2 linked regions of the Lepisosteus oculatus genome follow. The protein of the gene in region 2 interacts with the protein of the main gene of each other region in a biochemical or structural test. Links are inferred from orthologs where the notes say so. Each region holds a gene or a part of one and is shown on either strand. Other genes may lie near its edges. The genes, in order: map2k4a and map3k1.

Region 1 (8,769 bases), on a different chromosome or scaffold from region 2:
TTTGTCTATAATGTCTTGCCAGGTTAGAAACTGAACACCCCCAGTTGACGAGTGACAGTGAGCTGACTTAGTCCAGCTTCCAACACACGGACAGAACAAAGGAATTGTTCTCTAGATAGGAAGGGTATACTGATTTCTTTCTACATTTGAACATGAAAAGAACGGTTAGAGGCTAGCTTTTTTTCCCCAAGGCTAATGAATCCATTGATCTCATTTTTTAATATATTTAATTGATTTGCCCAGCTGAGCTTTCACACTATTACAAAAGGAAGCCTTCATTGTGTTAATCACAAGAAATAAAGTAGCTTACACACGGCAACTGCAGAAATAACTAAGAAACAAATAAAGGTCTAAAATAAGTACATAAGAAAGGTTACAAATGAGAGGAGACTATCTGTCCCTCTTAGTACAGATAGCTACAGACAGCTAGTACTTAACTATCTGTAGATAGTAGTAGCTGGTAGCTAATTGATCCAAATGTCTTCCTTCTTTTAAAGGAAGCCAGGTTTATCAGCATCAAAAACATGGCTGCACAGCTCTAGTTCTAGACGTTATGTAAAGAAGTGCCTCCTATTCTTAGTTTTAAATGTACTTCCCTGCTTGTTTTCTTACAAGATTTTCACAAGACATTCAACGGGTCAAATGGCCAAATCCCAATAAACTCTCTGACAAATAAGGTGATTAAGCAATTATTCAACAGTCAAAGTAAGGTATGTCCATAATGGTCAGTCATGACTGATCATTTAATCAAACATTGTGAAAACATATTTAATATTCAAATCTATTTTGTGTTGGAAAAGAAAATAAAATAAAGAGTGACAAGCTTTTTTTCTGATGCCCACTATATGTACTGTCACTTCAAAGTCAGATGTGTATAGGCCTTATGATATGACGAGACTGAAGAAAATATACTGTATTTATGTACATGTGAAAGCTTAATCTAGTTTAATAGCACTGTCAATACTAATACAAGCTATTAATTAAAGCTGAGTAATAACAAAAACTTTAAAGCTTCATTCTACAGCTTTGCAGAAACTGTAGAATTTGTGTTTTGAACTACTGTGAAGTTAATTAAATCCAACATGGTTTTATTAAAATTCCCCATGAAAAGTACCTTAGCAGCTAAAGATCAAGCTGTTCCTTTCTTCACAATGGTCAAAAAGCCAACTTATAATGATAGTAGTGCTAGTAACTAATTGATACAAGGGCCTCACCATGGTGTATTTTGAAGAATAACACAGAATCAGCTTTGCTTATATGATGGGATAGCTTGTTACTAACACCTACTTCCAAAAACTCCTTTTATTCAACTTACCTCCTTTAAGCCTAGTTATTATTTTCAGTCCTCTACACCTGGACTGTATTTCCATCTCTGTTATCTGCAGTTCATCTACAGTAGGCTATCTTCAATGTGCTTGGACACCTAACCCATTCATGTGACTTTTAGCAGGATACAATTATGTAACTATGCCACACAGCTGCACAGCAATAATAAGGAACTGCTGCACTTTTAACAAGGCTTGTAATTCAGCAAACGCATGGCAATTGCAGAACTGTGCTCAAACTGCATTCTTCAATTTGATTTCTTGCAGCTCGGTAAGCTTTGGCAATACTCCTAAGGGATTCCAATCAATTCAAACTTAGTCAATAGCCAAAATATTAAGCTATGAAACAACAGCTTTTGCCAGCACCTTTTCCTTCAGTGCCATAAACTAAAAGTGAAAAACATACTGCCAACCCCTGACCTAATGGACACACAAAATGGGAGTAATCTATTAATACTGCATGCGTTGCACAGACATTTCTTTCACATAACAATATGGAAATTCAAGGTAAAAAGCATTCCAATGGACATAAATACTTTTTCACCAACTACTCTTATTTGAATAGGAATTTCCTGCATATTTTACCCATGTGCTGACTGTGCAAATATTGGCATTTCAATCACATATAAGTCCTACGGAAATTAATACTACACAATAAAAGTAGTTAATATATACGGCATGAACTAATAAAGAGTAGACTACTATTTCACTGGTATAAACTGATAAAAACAGTGGATACAGTATGTGTTCTTTTAAAAGCTTCAACATAAAATGCTTTCTTTCCTTAGTATTTAATACAAAAGGGCTTTTATCACAACAGAGATGCATTAGTAACATCCCCAAGCACTGCAGCCACATTGAGATGTTTATTTTGTGTCTGACAGCACGGCACTTAAAAACACATTTTACTTCTCAGTTCATAAAACATTACTACAGTACATTCCTATAAAATAGATAATAAAGTACCTGTTTCATTCTGACACCTCCAGCACGTGTTGGTCTCTGCAAGGTTTAAATGAAACATTTTATTCCTTGTATAATGCAACAATGTGTTATTAATCATGACTGTATTCATCTCGCCTACATGATTATCATGGCGCATTAGTTCATAAAATCTTCTGGCCATCGAATGTACACAAAGGAAGGGAAATCTGCAACATTTTTTTCTACAGTGCCCATTTTATTAAATATTTTATTGGCTGGAGATTTAAAGAAATTGCTACAGTAATCCACAAAGCGTTTGTACAGCTTCAGAGTTCGATTTTTTTATTTAATTTGCGGCGTAACATTAGTACTAAAACCATTATTAAACAACCTGTAGCAAGAATAAGCACTGCATAGTAGTCTTCAATAGCATAGGTATATGTGAACCAGGCTACTTACTGCACGTGAGGCCTTGAAATATCAAAAATAACACAACACAAGAAATGACAAAGCTCATTTAATTGAGCAGGTCACTGCAGCTTTCTAGCGGTATCCCTGAGTTTAACCTTTCACATTTGCAATGTAAAAAAATGGAACTGAATTTTAAAAGAAATGAAAAATATAATTTAAAAATCCGTATAAAACTAGACTATTTAGGCCTTTGGCCATAAAAATCATTCAGTGAAAACCGCCCCATAGAAATCCAGATCTGTAAAGTGATTTAACACGATGTCTAACACGTCTCGCTCTCGCAATCTTCTGGATTTTAGAAATGCCACGGAGAGGTAAATTAAAAGCTTCCTAAACATAGAGGCCTACAAACAGTGGCGATAAGGAAATGCAAACTGCATCGCTACGGTGCAGCATTACTAGAGTACACAGTGAGACTTTCACCAATCATGTTCTCCAATTATTCTGATAAAATAAAAACGTTTACGGACTTTTTGTTTTCTGGCGCTTACCCTGCATGCTGCTCACTGTTGTTATGTGCTGAGACTGGGACTGGTGCTGATGTGATGTAGATGTAGATCCTGCGTTATTGCTGTTGTTGCTGGAAGAGGTTGTTGAGTTGGTGCTGGGGCTGGGAGTCGCCATTGTTGTGTTTGATTCCAGCAGCAGCACTGAGGCTGCAATGCAGTGAGTGGCTTCACCCTTCACAGGCAGGGACACCTAGCTACAGAACTCAATATAGCACTACACCGCTTCAGTCTAAAACCCTTCAAAGTCTCGCAGGACACCTAGCTACGAAACTCAACATAGCAGAATACAATTTATATAATAAACTACTATTCAGTTTTGAACCATTGAGCAATCACGAGACAACTAGCTTGAGAAACCAGCACTACACAATACAGTACTCGGTTGAAGTACTCTATGTGACCAGCCCGTCAATTTCCGCCTACGTAGTCTGACAGCGCCTCAAAATCCACAATAAAGCAATAAAGTCTGATAAAGTCCGAGTATTTCCCATTCCACAGTAATCACCAGACCACTCCTAGTGCTATAAATGAAAGCCCTGAATTAAAAGGAGCCAAGACACACAAGGCATAACATTTGCGGTGCGAGTTGTAGTTAGTCCCACTTTATAAATAGTAAAGCCGTTGTTCAATCTAAGTTACATATTTTCAAATTATGCAAGGATTTGGTTATACTCTCCTCCCCCACCCAGAAATGGCAGTACTGCAACCTAATATGATTTTAGTGCTGAATGTAGAATAATTACTTGGAGATTTTCGTATACAAAAATTAAATACTACCTTTATCCCCTTACGTTTGACATAAATCAAAGCAGCTATAATAGCTGCAATAAAAACAAAATAACTGGACTGCTATAAATAGTAGCCGTTTGGGGGTTGGGGTCCCTGTAGTTGTTTATTCCTTTTGGGGATTTGGGGATTTTAGGTTGTGTCAGAGTGGGATTACAGGATGTCAATTCAGACTGAACAGGCAAGTGTGTGAATGTGGAGTGTGACTACAGTAGGACCTGCAGTGCTAAGTAGTGGTTAGTATCTGTGAGTTACAGCAGCTGTAAGAACTTTCATTTATTTTCAACATGTCCACATTATCATTATTGAACTGTAGTTTGACCTTCTGTCTCAGGAGGTCCTGAAGCAGAAGGGAATTGGAGACTAGGAGACAGGAGAGATAGAAACACAAATGCCATGTTGTAAAAAGGAGTACTCTCCGGGTCATTGTAAATACAAATTTGTTCTCTAAATTCTATAAAGTATTGATGAGTAGTGGAGTAGTGTGTGTAGTGGAGAATATGTGTCCCTTTATTAGGGCGGTGCAGTGGCTCTGTGGTTAAGGATCTGCGCCTGTGGCTAGAAGGTTGCCGGTTTGTATCCTTCAGCCTGCAGAAAAATCCTACCCCATTGGGCCCCTAAGCAAGGCCCTTAACCCCAACTGCTCCAGGGTCACTGTAAAAATGGCTGACCCTGCACTCTGACCCCAAGCCTCTCTCCCTGTCTGTATGTCTCACGGAGAGCAAGTTGGGGTATATTGAAAAGACAAATTCCTAATACAAGAAATTGTATATGGCCAATATATGATCTTATATTTCTTACTGCAGCATTATTGACTAGAAAAGCCTTTATAGAAGTGTACTGTAGTATGTCTACATATCCATAAATAGCGTACCAAGAGGCCATATTGCCTAGGTAAAGATGTGTATATGTAAATATATATTAATAATGCCTGTATCCCTATATGTCTATGGCGTGATGTTTTGGCTCTTGCATGACTCTTCTGAGAGGAGAATGCTCATAACTGTGTTCAGTAGGTGTGGTTGCTTATGACCGTCAGTGTGAGATTGCCCACACTGTCACATCACCACAGTCCTTGGGGTATAAGGGCCCCTTTTAGAGAGAGAGAGAGAGAGAGAGAGAGAGAGAGAGAGAGAGAGTTAATGCAGTTAGTGTCAGTCTGTGGGGCCGTGTGTTGGTGCCATCAATTGTCTGAGCTGCCTCTTTCAGATAAATAAAAAGCACACCACCCTTTTGGAGCTGCAGTCTGAGTCAGAAGATATCCTTTATCTTCAGGGCTTGCATAGATGCTGAGCAGTGTTACAATAATGTTAGTGGTGTCAGAGTGGGATTACAGGATGAAAATTCAAAGTGAACAGGCAAGTCAGTAGAAGGGCAATAAAAGCGAAGCACAGGACCACCAGTGTCTTCCAGGAGCCAGCTGACAGAAAACAGACTCCCGATACAGGAGGAAGATGTAACTGGGGAGCAAAGAAAGACTCCAGGCAGCAGAAAATTCATACAGAGATGAAAGGCACTAGGCAGGCCCCTCGACCCTGCTGGTGTGGAGGAGAGATGGAGGAAGAACTCCTGCATCACCTCCAGACCTCCTTGCGGCATGGGAATAGATCAGGAAGGTGGAAGACTGGCTGCAACAGTCAGCTTTTTAAATGGCTGAGTGGACCTGCGTAGGCACAGTTCACTTTTATGATGGCAGTGAGCAAGACCTGGCTCATTGTCCGGATCACTGAGGTTTTATGTCTGCCAGGGTAACATGGTAGTATGGCAGGTGCATGACCAACTAGTATAACTGGAGAACAGTTACAATAACAGCAACACAACAGCATTTTAATATTCTTTATTGTTCCTCTAAAGACATATGTCCAGATCTTTTCTTCTGTACCTCGATAAATATGCATTTATTTAAATGTTTGTTAACAGTAGATAACAACAGTTTACTACAGTATTCTCACAAGATCTACCAAAATTTTCAACTTTGTGCTTTCGCTTAATGCACAATGCACAATGCACAGTACAATACTATTCATTTGTGCTCTGTAACTAAGCTAATGGAACTATAATTCCCAAACTGCATTGCAAATGTCCATGTGATCTGACTCAAACTCAATAATGGCAGTTTCTTTTCTCTGAGCAAAGTACTGAAGAAAATAAGTAAAATGAGCAAGAAATACGAATTAACAAAAAACGGAAAAACAAAAAGCGGGTCTTCGGAGTGTTTTCAAGTATTATGGAGAAGCTGCAATTTATGTATGTTTTTTTTCTTTGCTTTAGCGGCATATGTGCAGGCAAGTACCGTACTAAAGACAAATGTGACTGGTTTTGGAAATTAAAGTGCAGTTGTTTTTATATATTTGTTTAAACTCTTTTATATCTTTATGGGTGTCTGTATGCTGTTTATATTAATAAATAGTACTGAGGCTGGTTACATACATTCTAATGTTTTAGAATTTAGAAGTCATAAGCACATATATTTCAACACTGTCATACTTAAGGAATTCGATGTCATCGTTCTGAATGCATTTTATGTATTTTGAGCAATATGCGGTATGGATAACTCAACATCCAAAAACGTATTGTTTCTCTCATGGCATAAACGTTTTTTGTTTTAAAAAACACTTTTAAAACTATTTTTTATCATTGTTGCTCTTTCAAACTAGACAGAAAATAAATAAATTTAATTATTTTTGATTATTCCAGATCAATGACCCCGATGCTGGCATATGGATGGTGAGTCCTAAACAGTACACCGTAGTACGAAGTATAAAACTGAATTCTTCACTTCAGAGAAAGCATACGAACTCTACCAGTGCGTATCTTCAAATGCATCTTGAATGGCCTCTGAAAAACATCGAGCGACACCTGCTGGCTGTATTTGTAAAATGTGACTGTTTTTATTTCCTGACTTCCAATATTATAAATGCGTTTGTATTTACAGGTTGCATATTCAATCCCAGCTTCTTTGTGTTTTCTGATAAGCCTTAAGCCTCCAATTACAGGTATGACTCTATCCTGATATCTGTTTTTATGTCATGAAAGCTGATCCAGTCCCTCCTATGTTATGTAGCTCAGTAACTTTGCAAAATCAAGATGAATGTGTTGTTTTTCAGAGGTATTAATCTGGAGGAGACTATCTGATCTTCATATGCTTATTTGTGCTGCTGTAGCTGCCATGTTGGGATGGTCCTTGTATAAAAGTAAAGCTGAAAATATCTTCCAGAAAGAAGAAGGAAGGTAATTGTCACTTTTCTATCCATAGGTAAACTCTGGCTTAGGTTTGAGCAATTAATATTAAAGACTGATTTTATAATTAATTCCTTAGTTTTATTTAGTAAATCCTAATGGATTGGCATCTGTTCTGAAAACACAACTATCAAGAAAATATAATTAAACATGTCAGTTATATTGGTCAAGAAAAAAAAGAATTGAATGTAATCTTAAGTACAGTTATATACACCATTGATGTAATCACCCTTTACTTTTATTTTTGGAAGTATTGTTACACTTCACTTGGTTTTAATCTCTCTCACCTTAGTTGATCACTGTATCATTTTTTTTGCTGTTCTCTAAGAGAGTTCTCTGGATTATTATTAATCGTGGTATGGCTGATCCTGTGTCGTCATTCAGGAAGGTGAGGTGTTCCTCTTGTTTTATTCATTGGTGAGAAATGTGATTAAAATGTGTTTACACTCTAATAGATATTCTAATGCAGTTTCTTCATTTTACAGTTCATTTTATCTAAAGGTACTGTAATGCATCTAAATCTATTTCTTTAACCGAAGGTTAAAACCTTTTTTACTTTACTCTCCTATATTAAAATAGCTGTTAAAAGGAATTCAAAACAATCAAAAGTTGTTTCTTTATCCATATTTTCTTAATAAAAACAGAGGCAAGAATCATAGAAAAAGTAGATTTTTACTTATATTGTATACTTTTATATTTAAGTAGGTAGCTGTGTCAGCATGTGTAGGCTAAAGGTTTATTCCATGCAGAAAAGAGAAGAAACCCAAGGCTCCACAGCCGAAACATTATGTTTATTTTCTTCTCTTTTCGGCATAGAATAAACGTTTACTTGTTCCTTAACTTTTGAAAACTAAAATGGGACATATCGTACTTCCTTTCTACAATGTCAAATTATAGTTTAGTGATGAGATACGTAATAATTTGGGCTTCCTTCTAATGACACTGAAGTCAAAATGAAATTGCAGAAGTTTTAGATTGACTTTTTCGATTGACTGTTTTTAAAATGTACAACATTGGGTAATGTTTTCATCCAGCCCAATAAAAGTCATTTTAAAATAGGTTCAGCATATCCAGTTATTTGTTTTCTATTTCAGGAATTCAGTTGGAGCCTTAAGAGTTTCCACTGCTGTGGGAATCACAGCTTTCCCTTTGGTGACATGGCTGTACTACTACATCAACAAGGAGCTGAGGTCCTCCTGGCCCTCACATTGTAAAACTGCACTTTAAATTACAAGAAAGAATATTAAGATAAACCTGTGTTTATAATACCACTGAATATGTTCCAATGTTTACAATTACTGAATATGTTTGTAAATAACCTGACATGTACACAGTAAATCCAATTTGCATTTTTGCATCAAAAGTTAAAAAGAGAATTCAAACGTGATACCTGTTTGATTGTAGAATACATACATGAAGTATATTTTGTCTCACTGCATTACACAGTTAGGTTTATCCTTAATGTATTTAGAATTTTTCTCTACAAAAAGCCTTTGGACTTTGTGAAGTCAAGA
Region 2 (8,562 bases):
ATGTATCCTTGAGTGTTTTCATTTCTGTATTTCATAATATGGGGCACAGCATGTTACAGCTAGTTAGCATTAACAAAATGTTGTTGTTGTTGTTGTTGTTGTTGTATCTAACTCAGTTCTCCGTTTCCAGAAATGTTGAGAACAGCTCATTGACTGTAACTCTGTTAGATAGAAATGTTGAAATAGGTTTTTGACTGCGTTTAAAACTAAAATGAGCCTGACTGTTTTATATGAACAACTGTAATTATATTTTGGATTTCATAATTTGATGCTAATACAAAAGGTAACATCTTAGTTTAAATGGAGGTAAAAATAATTGATTTCTAAAATAAAAAATCACTTTCACGATAAATGTGAAGATAACCTTGTATCTAAGAGTTCATTAATTGCAGCTCAGGGAGGTTGCCAGGCTGTGCCTGGGACACATGGGGAAGCTCTGCGTTAATTTAGCTCTTCTAATGTCTTCAAAGAAAAACTTTACAACCACGAGGCCCACTGAGGAAAGGCAGAGATCACCTGAGAGCTGAACTGTCTTCTACTGTGTAAAAATGATAAAGTTCATAAGGTGTGAAGAAGATCTGATATCTGACAGCACTCATTGATCTTTGACCTTCTTTGCTTCTCTGTACTGTACGTGCCAATCACAGGGCAAGATAGTTAACTGTCTCTTCCAAGCTAATACAAAAGGCATCTTATTATGTTGCAGCTTGTTATAGTGGTTTCTAAACACTGTGGCGGAGTTCTAATGAATTAGGCTAGAATGTTCAATTTCCTGACATTCATATCTGTATTTGAGTAGTGAATGATGCTACCTGTACTCCTGGCAAAATAATTCTATCATGATTTATTGTCAAGGTTAGCAAGGTGCCCAGTCATTAGCATTTCAGCTTTGGTTCAATTCCAGACCTGGGATGTGTTTTCGCCAGGTGCTCTGGTTTCCTTCCACAGTCCAAAGAAATAGTGGTAGGTTAATTTGCTTCTAGGAAAACTGGCTCCAGTGTGAATGAGTTTGTGTCCATATGCCCTGGTATGGACAGGTGTCCTGAACAGGTTATACTCTGCTTTGTGCCCATTGCTTGCTGGGATGGGCTCTGGCTCCCCCACAACCCTGTTTTAGATAAAGTAGTTAGAAAATGGATGGATGAGTAATTTTCTTCTATTTATGCAACTAAAGCTGCCAGAAATATTTCCAATGTAAATTCCCATGGTGCATCAAAACAAATTAAAACAAAATGCAGCTATAACCGAAATGACATTGATATTGGTAATATCTATATGGGATGCCATTTGGTATTGTGGTAGATTTACAGACAACGTTCATTTATTGAAAACTTATAGTATAAATTAACAAAATGTTTCTGTACATTGGCTGCAGAAATTGTGTTACCCATAGAGAATTGCTAAGTAAAGAAAGATGATGTGTCAAAATAATTAACACTTGCATCACTGTACATTAGTAACATACTGTAGGATGGCTACAGGTACAGGACCTGGTTACTGACCTGTACCTTGTTGTTTTATTCTAAATTAATTTTAGTGGCAAAGAAAGATCAAATACTTTACTCTGTTTTATGTGGCAAGCCAAATAATCATTTAACAATATGTCTTAATCATTTTTAGATATATTCATACATTTAAAGACATTTATAACTATGTGTAAGTATCTATTAATATTTACAATAGATCTTAAACTGATTAAGAAGTATCTCAAAATCTATAAAAAAATTAAAGATATCTATAAATGAGTTATAAATATCTTCAAATAGAGTGGTATAATATGATATTGCTGAATATAATAATAGATTTACACATTTTAGATTTTACCTAGCAATAATTTCATTGATCATGCAATGCTGCTTACAGTACAGTATGTCTCACTGCTGTCACCCTACTTATCTGAAGAGAAGAACAATGATATGTAATTGTATAGGGTGTATGGAGATTGTAAACCAATGCCACTGATTAGAAGATTATAAGTCTGTTCTGATGTACCTTATTTTATTCATGTGTTGGTATCAATAATTTTCAACATTTTTAGGCAATCCGTCCAACCCTTACCCTAATGAAGTCAAGACCGGTAGTGCATGCTTTTCCAATGTAAAATTTGCATTGTTCTGCACTGCCTAAAAAGGGGAGTGTTTATGTCTGTAGAGTCTATATGCTACTGTTTGCATAAGAACCCATGACAAACCTCTCTAAACTAGAAGAAGCTATTTTAAGGGTTTATGAGGACCTTTTAAAAGTGCTGTTGTTTACTTAGCAGGTACATGATAGGAATGTCCTCAGTTAAAACCCATCAATTTTAACTTGCTTTTGAGTTATTTTTCTTGTCCAGTCAGTAACACTGTAACATTCTAGTCACTTTTTAAAATAAAAGTGAAAATGTTTTTTTACACTGACATGCATTCTCATTCTCACAATTTTAAGCTATTTTAAAAGATGTAACTACTTATAACTAACACTTTGGAATACAATTTTTTCTCACACTTAATCTTCTTTGTTCCAAAGGTATAAAGGTATTTTTGTTACTGGCCATGAAAGAACACTGCTATATCAGAAGGATAAATGTTTCTTTTTCAAATTACTACCCAGGTTGTTTTCATAGCCTACGGACGAATGAACTTTTAAAAGGTAAAAATATCTAAATTTTTTGCCTTGGGTATGAAACCATATCTCCTGCCAGTGTTCACTCAGCATATATATTTCAAAGTCTTGAAACTTCACTCCTGTTCACTGAAGTTCAGAACAGAAATATCACTAATAAGAATGTCAGTCCTGCTTTTCTGTTGAAATAAGGCTCTTTTCTCCAGACTCTGCTTACAGCGTCTTTAAGGTGCAGTATTAGGAAGAGACAGGCGGTGACAGTGAGAGAATTCTCGAGTCTTTTTGAGCTTTTTACCTCTAGTAGTCTGCGTTTAGAACAGCAGCCCCAGGGTATGCTGGTCCCCAATACAAAAACAAGTACACAAGAGATTTGCACAGTATTCTACTACTTAGGTTTCTATGTCTGCATTTGATTTTCCTTGTACATTCTTGATTTTATCCTATTCTGGTGTCTTTTCTTAGATGAACAATACACTGCGGCCCTGTGCTGGCCTTCAAAAGTTGAAAATTGATGAAACTCAGTCACTCAAAGAGCTTCAATGTCTCAGAAATAACATTTCTGAGTTGTTTTGGTCAATACTTTTGACACTTGAAGGAAATAACAGGTAATATATAGTGTGTTTTTACTTAGGACTTCACCATAAAAACCTAACACTGAGGAGGGAGAAAAGTAATGTATAGCTTAACTGGAATAAGGACGTTATTATTAATTGATGGTACATACAACAGTAATCTCTCCTGACCATAGCTTTTCTTTGTCCATCTGGGTTGGATTACTTGGATTAACTTCCAGATATATTCATCTATCCAATTTCGCCTTTCCGTGAGAGTATGTCTACCAGAAGACTGATTACCCTTTTCACATGTGCAAGGCTTTAAATAAAATAAAAAAATTGAACAAAAAAGGAAACGTCATACCACTCACTCATGGTTAAGTAAAGCGATGTGTCAAACACAAATGTACATTTATATAAATTAAATATTTATACATTTATATTTATAGACATGATTTAAAAATGAATTTTGAAACTAAACAAACACATTTTTACAGCTCAAAAATAAAAACATAACTGTAGCATTTGATTTCCCCAAGTTAGTTGTCCACCACCAGGTGTACTGGGTTTACCAAGTATAAGGGTTTTGTTGTGTAAAGCAGAAAACATCCCATACTCAACAAACAAAAAGTAATTGTTTATCCACATGTTGTTAGGCTCTTTACAACCCCTAGGCAGTTTTATCTTTACTATATAATATATAAATTACTAGTACAATACATTTGGTTGTGGATATTTTGGCTGGATATCCTATCATCATGCAGGCTTGGGTGGCAATATACGGTGCCTCCTAAGAGTATCGGTGCATTTCCCCATACAGTCCTTTTCCGATATCAGTGACACTATACACTGTATAAAATGTAATAGTGGTTAGTGTGGACAAAGGGGCATACAGCTGTTACCACAGGCTAAAGGAGAAAGGTAGTTTGGTCAGACAACAAATATCTTTGCGCGCAACCTTCCGTCAATAACTATTTCTATCTGTGGTACTTCCACATACTGAACCAAGTCTGCCTTTTCTGTTTGTAAGTTTGTTAATCTAAATGGGAAAGATGGTGGGTATTTTATCCTGAATACAATGTACCAGCTGTCAGGAACAACAGGTGAGATTCGTTTGGTAAGCGTTTGAGTTTTAAAATTGGAATGGATTATTATATCACGACTTGAAAAATGACTAATCTTCATAACATTGGCCTTTTGAATTCTAAAAATCAGAAAATGTTCACTCTCCGTCCCACTTTATGATATCAGGTGATTTACAGTGACTGCATATTCTTCAGAGACTAAACGACAGGTGAAATCGAAAATGACACAGGTAACTAACAGTATACCAATGAAATTCTTAGTACAGGTGTAAAAACATTAAGCACCATAAAAATACGAAAATAAAATGAATAAATCTGTTTTTATTTGAATATGGTCTCCAACTAGATACTCATCACATTTGTAACACCAATCCACAAACATTAAAATGTTACCTACTAACGAATTTGTATTACTCTTATAACGGCAATTATTTTTTACATTTTAACTAAGCTTTAGAACTGGTGAACGTGAGCATGTCCTCGATTTAGTAAATACTTTAGCTTCACGGAATAAAGGCAAACAGAACGAATGGCAAGGAGAAAACCCAATACGGTAAACATATCAGATTGTAACTTTTTTTGGCTATTTATAACATTACTCCAGCCTTAGTAACTCGGGTGTCTCACTTTTTAAAGCCCATAAGCAGCAATCTTTAGCTACGCAAAGCACGCTGCCCCAGCTGCGCCGTTTGCGGTAGTGTGTAAACACCAGCAGCTCTCTCGCTCCTCCTCTCCACCTCTCCTCCCCCAGTTCCCTCCACTCCCTCTCCCAAAGAGCCTGAATGATAAACTCCGGGACAGAAAATGGCGGCGGCGGGGAGCCGGACCTCGTCGTCGGGAATAGCAGAGTTAAATAACGGCAGTGGCGTCGGCAGTCCTTCTCAGGGCACCTCCAGCACGGCTGGTCTTCCGAGCAGCCTCGGGCCGGCGAAGAGCGGCTGCGGCGGGGAAAACCCTCAGTGGAGACGCAGGGAGCTGCGGAAAGTGAGGAGTGTAGATCTGGACAAGCCCGAGTCGCTGCTGCTGTCTCCCGAGACCGGGACTGCTCCGATATCGGCGCAGCTGCACTTCTTGTCGATTTCTACTCCCGGTGGGATCCAGGCGACCCTCCTGCAACCCAGCCAGCCGGCTCCGCAGAGCAACTCGCTGCACAGCCGCCCCGTGTCGGACAGCTCGGGTCACGCCGGCGGCTTGTGCGCTGCCGCCGCTCTGGAATTGCTGAGCATCTCCACTCGTGGGAGCTGCGGCAACCACAATGCAGACTGTGGTGCCACGGGGGCTTCACTGGACATGATCTCTTCACCACATAGGTAGGAGATTAAGCCTTACTCCCCTCCTCCTCCCCCCGGAGTCTCGAATTTAACGGGCTTTGCTTTTCGTGTTGTGGGTGTTGTGATCTGCTTTACGGGTGAGGTGGATGTTTGCCACGGCAGAAGTGCAAGAAGCGCTTCAACTTTTCCCGGCGGATGTGATTTCCGAAACTTTTGTGAGTGTCACCACATTGCAGCCTTTAAAGAAGAGTTGATTGTGTGAAAAGCGCCGGGAAGTGAATTGCGATCCGTTTAAATTCTTAGTGGGGGAACGTTAGGAAATTTACGGATTTTTTTGTGTTTTATATCTTGGAAATCGCAATCTCAAAGGCGCAGGCGGCGAAAGAGTTGGTCTCTTTTAGATTGGGAAATGCGCTTTCGGGATGCAATTAATTGTGGAAGAGACCCCGGGATTGAAACACCATTGCCTGGTTTTAAAAATAACCCCGTTTTCCTCTTGGTTTCTAATGTCAGAGCTCAAACTGAAATCTTCTGCCTAATGAAGCCACACGGATACCTAGATACCTCTCCCGCAGCTGAAAGTGGGAATTCAACATTTTACACCGAAGATCAACGAAACAGCGATTGTTTACTTTTAAGGTTAACGGTCCCACCAAACGTTTATTTTAATTATTTCTCAGGTTTGGCACGTCAACCTTTTCCTCGTTAGCCCAAAATACGTGCGTAATGGCTGTTTCCTAGCATTTCTTGAGTCCACGTCCGCATCCTGCTACCTCAGTGACAGAGGTCATGATCGCCTCTACGTTTGAAAATGTGTAACGTGTGGTTTCCAGCCTATCAGCTGGAGCTGTTGAAAGACATTGTTCCGGCTGTTTCTATAGCCAAGCCGGATTTTGTAGTACGTTTCAAGGTATACATGGGGTGTAAAGTCCTTTTTTATTAACATTCCGAGGAAAGTAACGTCTTCTGTTACTGAATCGATTAAATCAAGACGTGGAAATGCAAGATGAGCTATCGGTGATTTATGATGGCTTGCATGGGATTGATAGTAATGTGGTATATTCATACAGTTTAAAAGAGGTCCCGTCAGTGCTTTATTTGTAACTCTCCTCCTCCGGTCTTGCGCCTCAAGCCTGCAAGGTTTCGAGCACGTGAGCGGAGACGCCAGTTTCTGCTGGTGTGCAGCTGTGGGGAAACTCGCAGGAGCGCAGGGCTGTGATTGCCTTTGAGAGAGGGGGGAGAAAGAAGCCAGTTTCTTTTGAAATATGTAACTTTTTTATGTCGTGTAGAACAACAGTGGAGTTAAACAGTGGTACAGGGGGCACCAAGTAATTTCGGACTGCAGAGGTGTGCTAGATATATTTTAATTCTAATCGCTTATAAACGCAGTAGACGTGCATAGAGCGAAACATCTTTTTGTTTTGGTGGAGTTAAACTTTTCTTGCTGTGAAAGTTAAAAATTAATGGGGAAGTCCTTTACTCAGACGAATGAATCAATGTTATGGCGTGAGATGAAGCAGCGAAGCGGTTAGAATGAAGGACTGCGTTTTTGTTGTCAGTGCGGTGAAGGCTTTTTGTAAATCGGGGTGTAGAATTGGATAATATACGGTGAATACAATGCGTCAAGATAAAATGGTGAAAGAGCGGTATTCCAATGTGGTATATCACCTTTGCCTCTGAAAATGTACAACTGAAAACGCACGGGTCCAGTTTCTGCATAAATATAGTTCTAGTTTAGTGTATTGAATAGGGACAGATGGAAAGTGAGATAAAAAGCTACTTTACATATCTCGGGGCAGAACACACCAACCAGATACAAGATGTAGACATAAAAAACATATAAACACATCCCATGGTAAATAGAAATAACAGATGTAATTGCTCAACAATAATGGCATGTTAATAAATTATTAATATAATTTTAACTATTGCTGAATAGCAGAACAGTGAGTAAGCACTTAAAACTATCTGGCATAATGGTTCCCCTTCTGATTATAAGACTTTCTTTAGCCTCACAGGAAGATCATTAAGCTGGTAGAATTAAGTACAGAGCAGCATCCAGAAATGTTAGTTTTGCACAGATATGTTTTTTTGTTGGGAGTCTTTCACCATAATTACCTAAAGATTTTGCAGTTTTAAAGAGTGGATGGTTTAAGTACATGCTTTCTTTAAAATTCAGATAAGGTGGGTCGGAAACCATCTTTGTCAAAGTTTAGACCAGTCCTCCTGGAGCCATTTCCTGCAGTGGGAATGTACTGTATTGTGAACCGATACTATTGTTTTGAGCCAGGTTTCTTTGGGAATGTGGTTTCGTCTGTGTTTATAAGAGTCCTTTTTGAAGTTAAAAGTTCTCAAGAGTGTTTAGTGATAGAGATTTGACATGGGAACTTAATTTAAATGTGCCTTCAAGGCACAAACTCTTTCTTCCTATTTTTAAGACAATTTAAAAAGCAACCAGTATAGTAAATAACGCAGTTCCATGTTTTGTACATGTTCCACTTTGCCCATTTACATACAAAAGTGTCTGCTTTTATTCTAATTTTTATATAACTATGGCTAAAATATAACAGGTGATATTTTTCCCATTAACATTTCAAAAGTAAAAGGTTTCACTAGACATGCATGATACATTTTTCACTAACAACCATGCTTTGTGACATTTGGTTGAAACTATTGGGTTTAATGATCAAAAATTGTGTGTTTAATGAGTATTTTCATTACTGAAGCAGAAAGCATTTCTAATGCTTGTGCATGACAACTGGAATGTGATGTGTACCTTACTTATTAACAGTTTAATGTGCACATTTGCTTTTAAAGGTGCCTTAGTTGCATGGCCTGTAAAACTATTTTTTGAGGAAATTGAAGCCTAAAAAACCTTTTTGTAAAGTCTCTAAAGACTTGTTTACATGTGCAGTACAGTTTTATGTTCATGCGGTCTATGGGATCTGTAGGTAACTTCACTCAAAAGATATTTCCTTCTAAAAAATATGCTCCTTCGGGGGTTGCATTTTGGACTGTAAGTCCATTTGCAGTGTCTGAAATGAACAC

What was found.
Region 1: of the proteins of map3k1 (region 2) and map2k4a, one has a biochemical effect on the other in vitro, tested with the Homo sapiens proteins (7 studies listed by BioGRID and IntAct, with this or other methods). The link is inferred for Lepisosteus oculatus from reciprocal best matches to the Homo sapiens genes MAP3K1 and MAP2K4.

What each region holds. Positions count from the first base shown.
Region 1 is NC_090704.1:37,382,181-37,390,949, reverse strand, and holds the start of map2k4a (dual specificity mitogen-activated protein kinase kinase 4a), read right to left. Parts: upstream 3,612-8,769; 5' UTR 3,345-3,611; coding exon 3,212-3,344; intron 2,328-3,211; coding exon 2,292-2,327; intron 1-2,291. Other genes in the region: tmem220 (transmembrane protein 220), read left to right, coding at 6,172-6,300, 6,713-6,742, 6,951-7,011, 7,123-7,246, 7,584-7,643, 8,350-8,482. UniProt on the Homo sapiens protein: Dual specificity protein kinase which acts as an essential component of the MAP kinase signal transduction pathway. Essential component of the stress-activated protein kinase/c-Jun N-terminal kinase (SAP/JNK) signaling pathway.
Region 2 is NC_090698.1:26,235,606-26,244,167, reverse strand, and holds the start of map3k1 (mitogen-activated protein kinase kinase kinase 1), read left to right. Parts: upstream 1-4,897; 5' UTR 4,898-5,047; coding exon 5,048-5,553; intron 5,554-5,622; exon of another isoform or gene 5,623-5,729; intron 5,730-8,562. UniProt on the Homo sapiens protein: Component of a protein kinase signal transduction cascade. Activates the ERK and JNK kinase pathways by phosphorylation of MAP2K1 and MAP2K4. May phosphorylate the MAPK8/JNK1 kinase.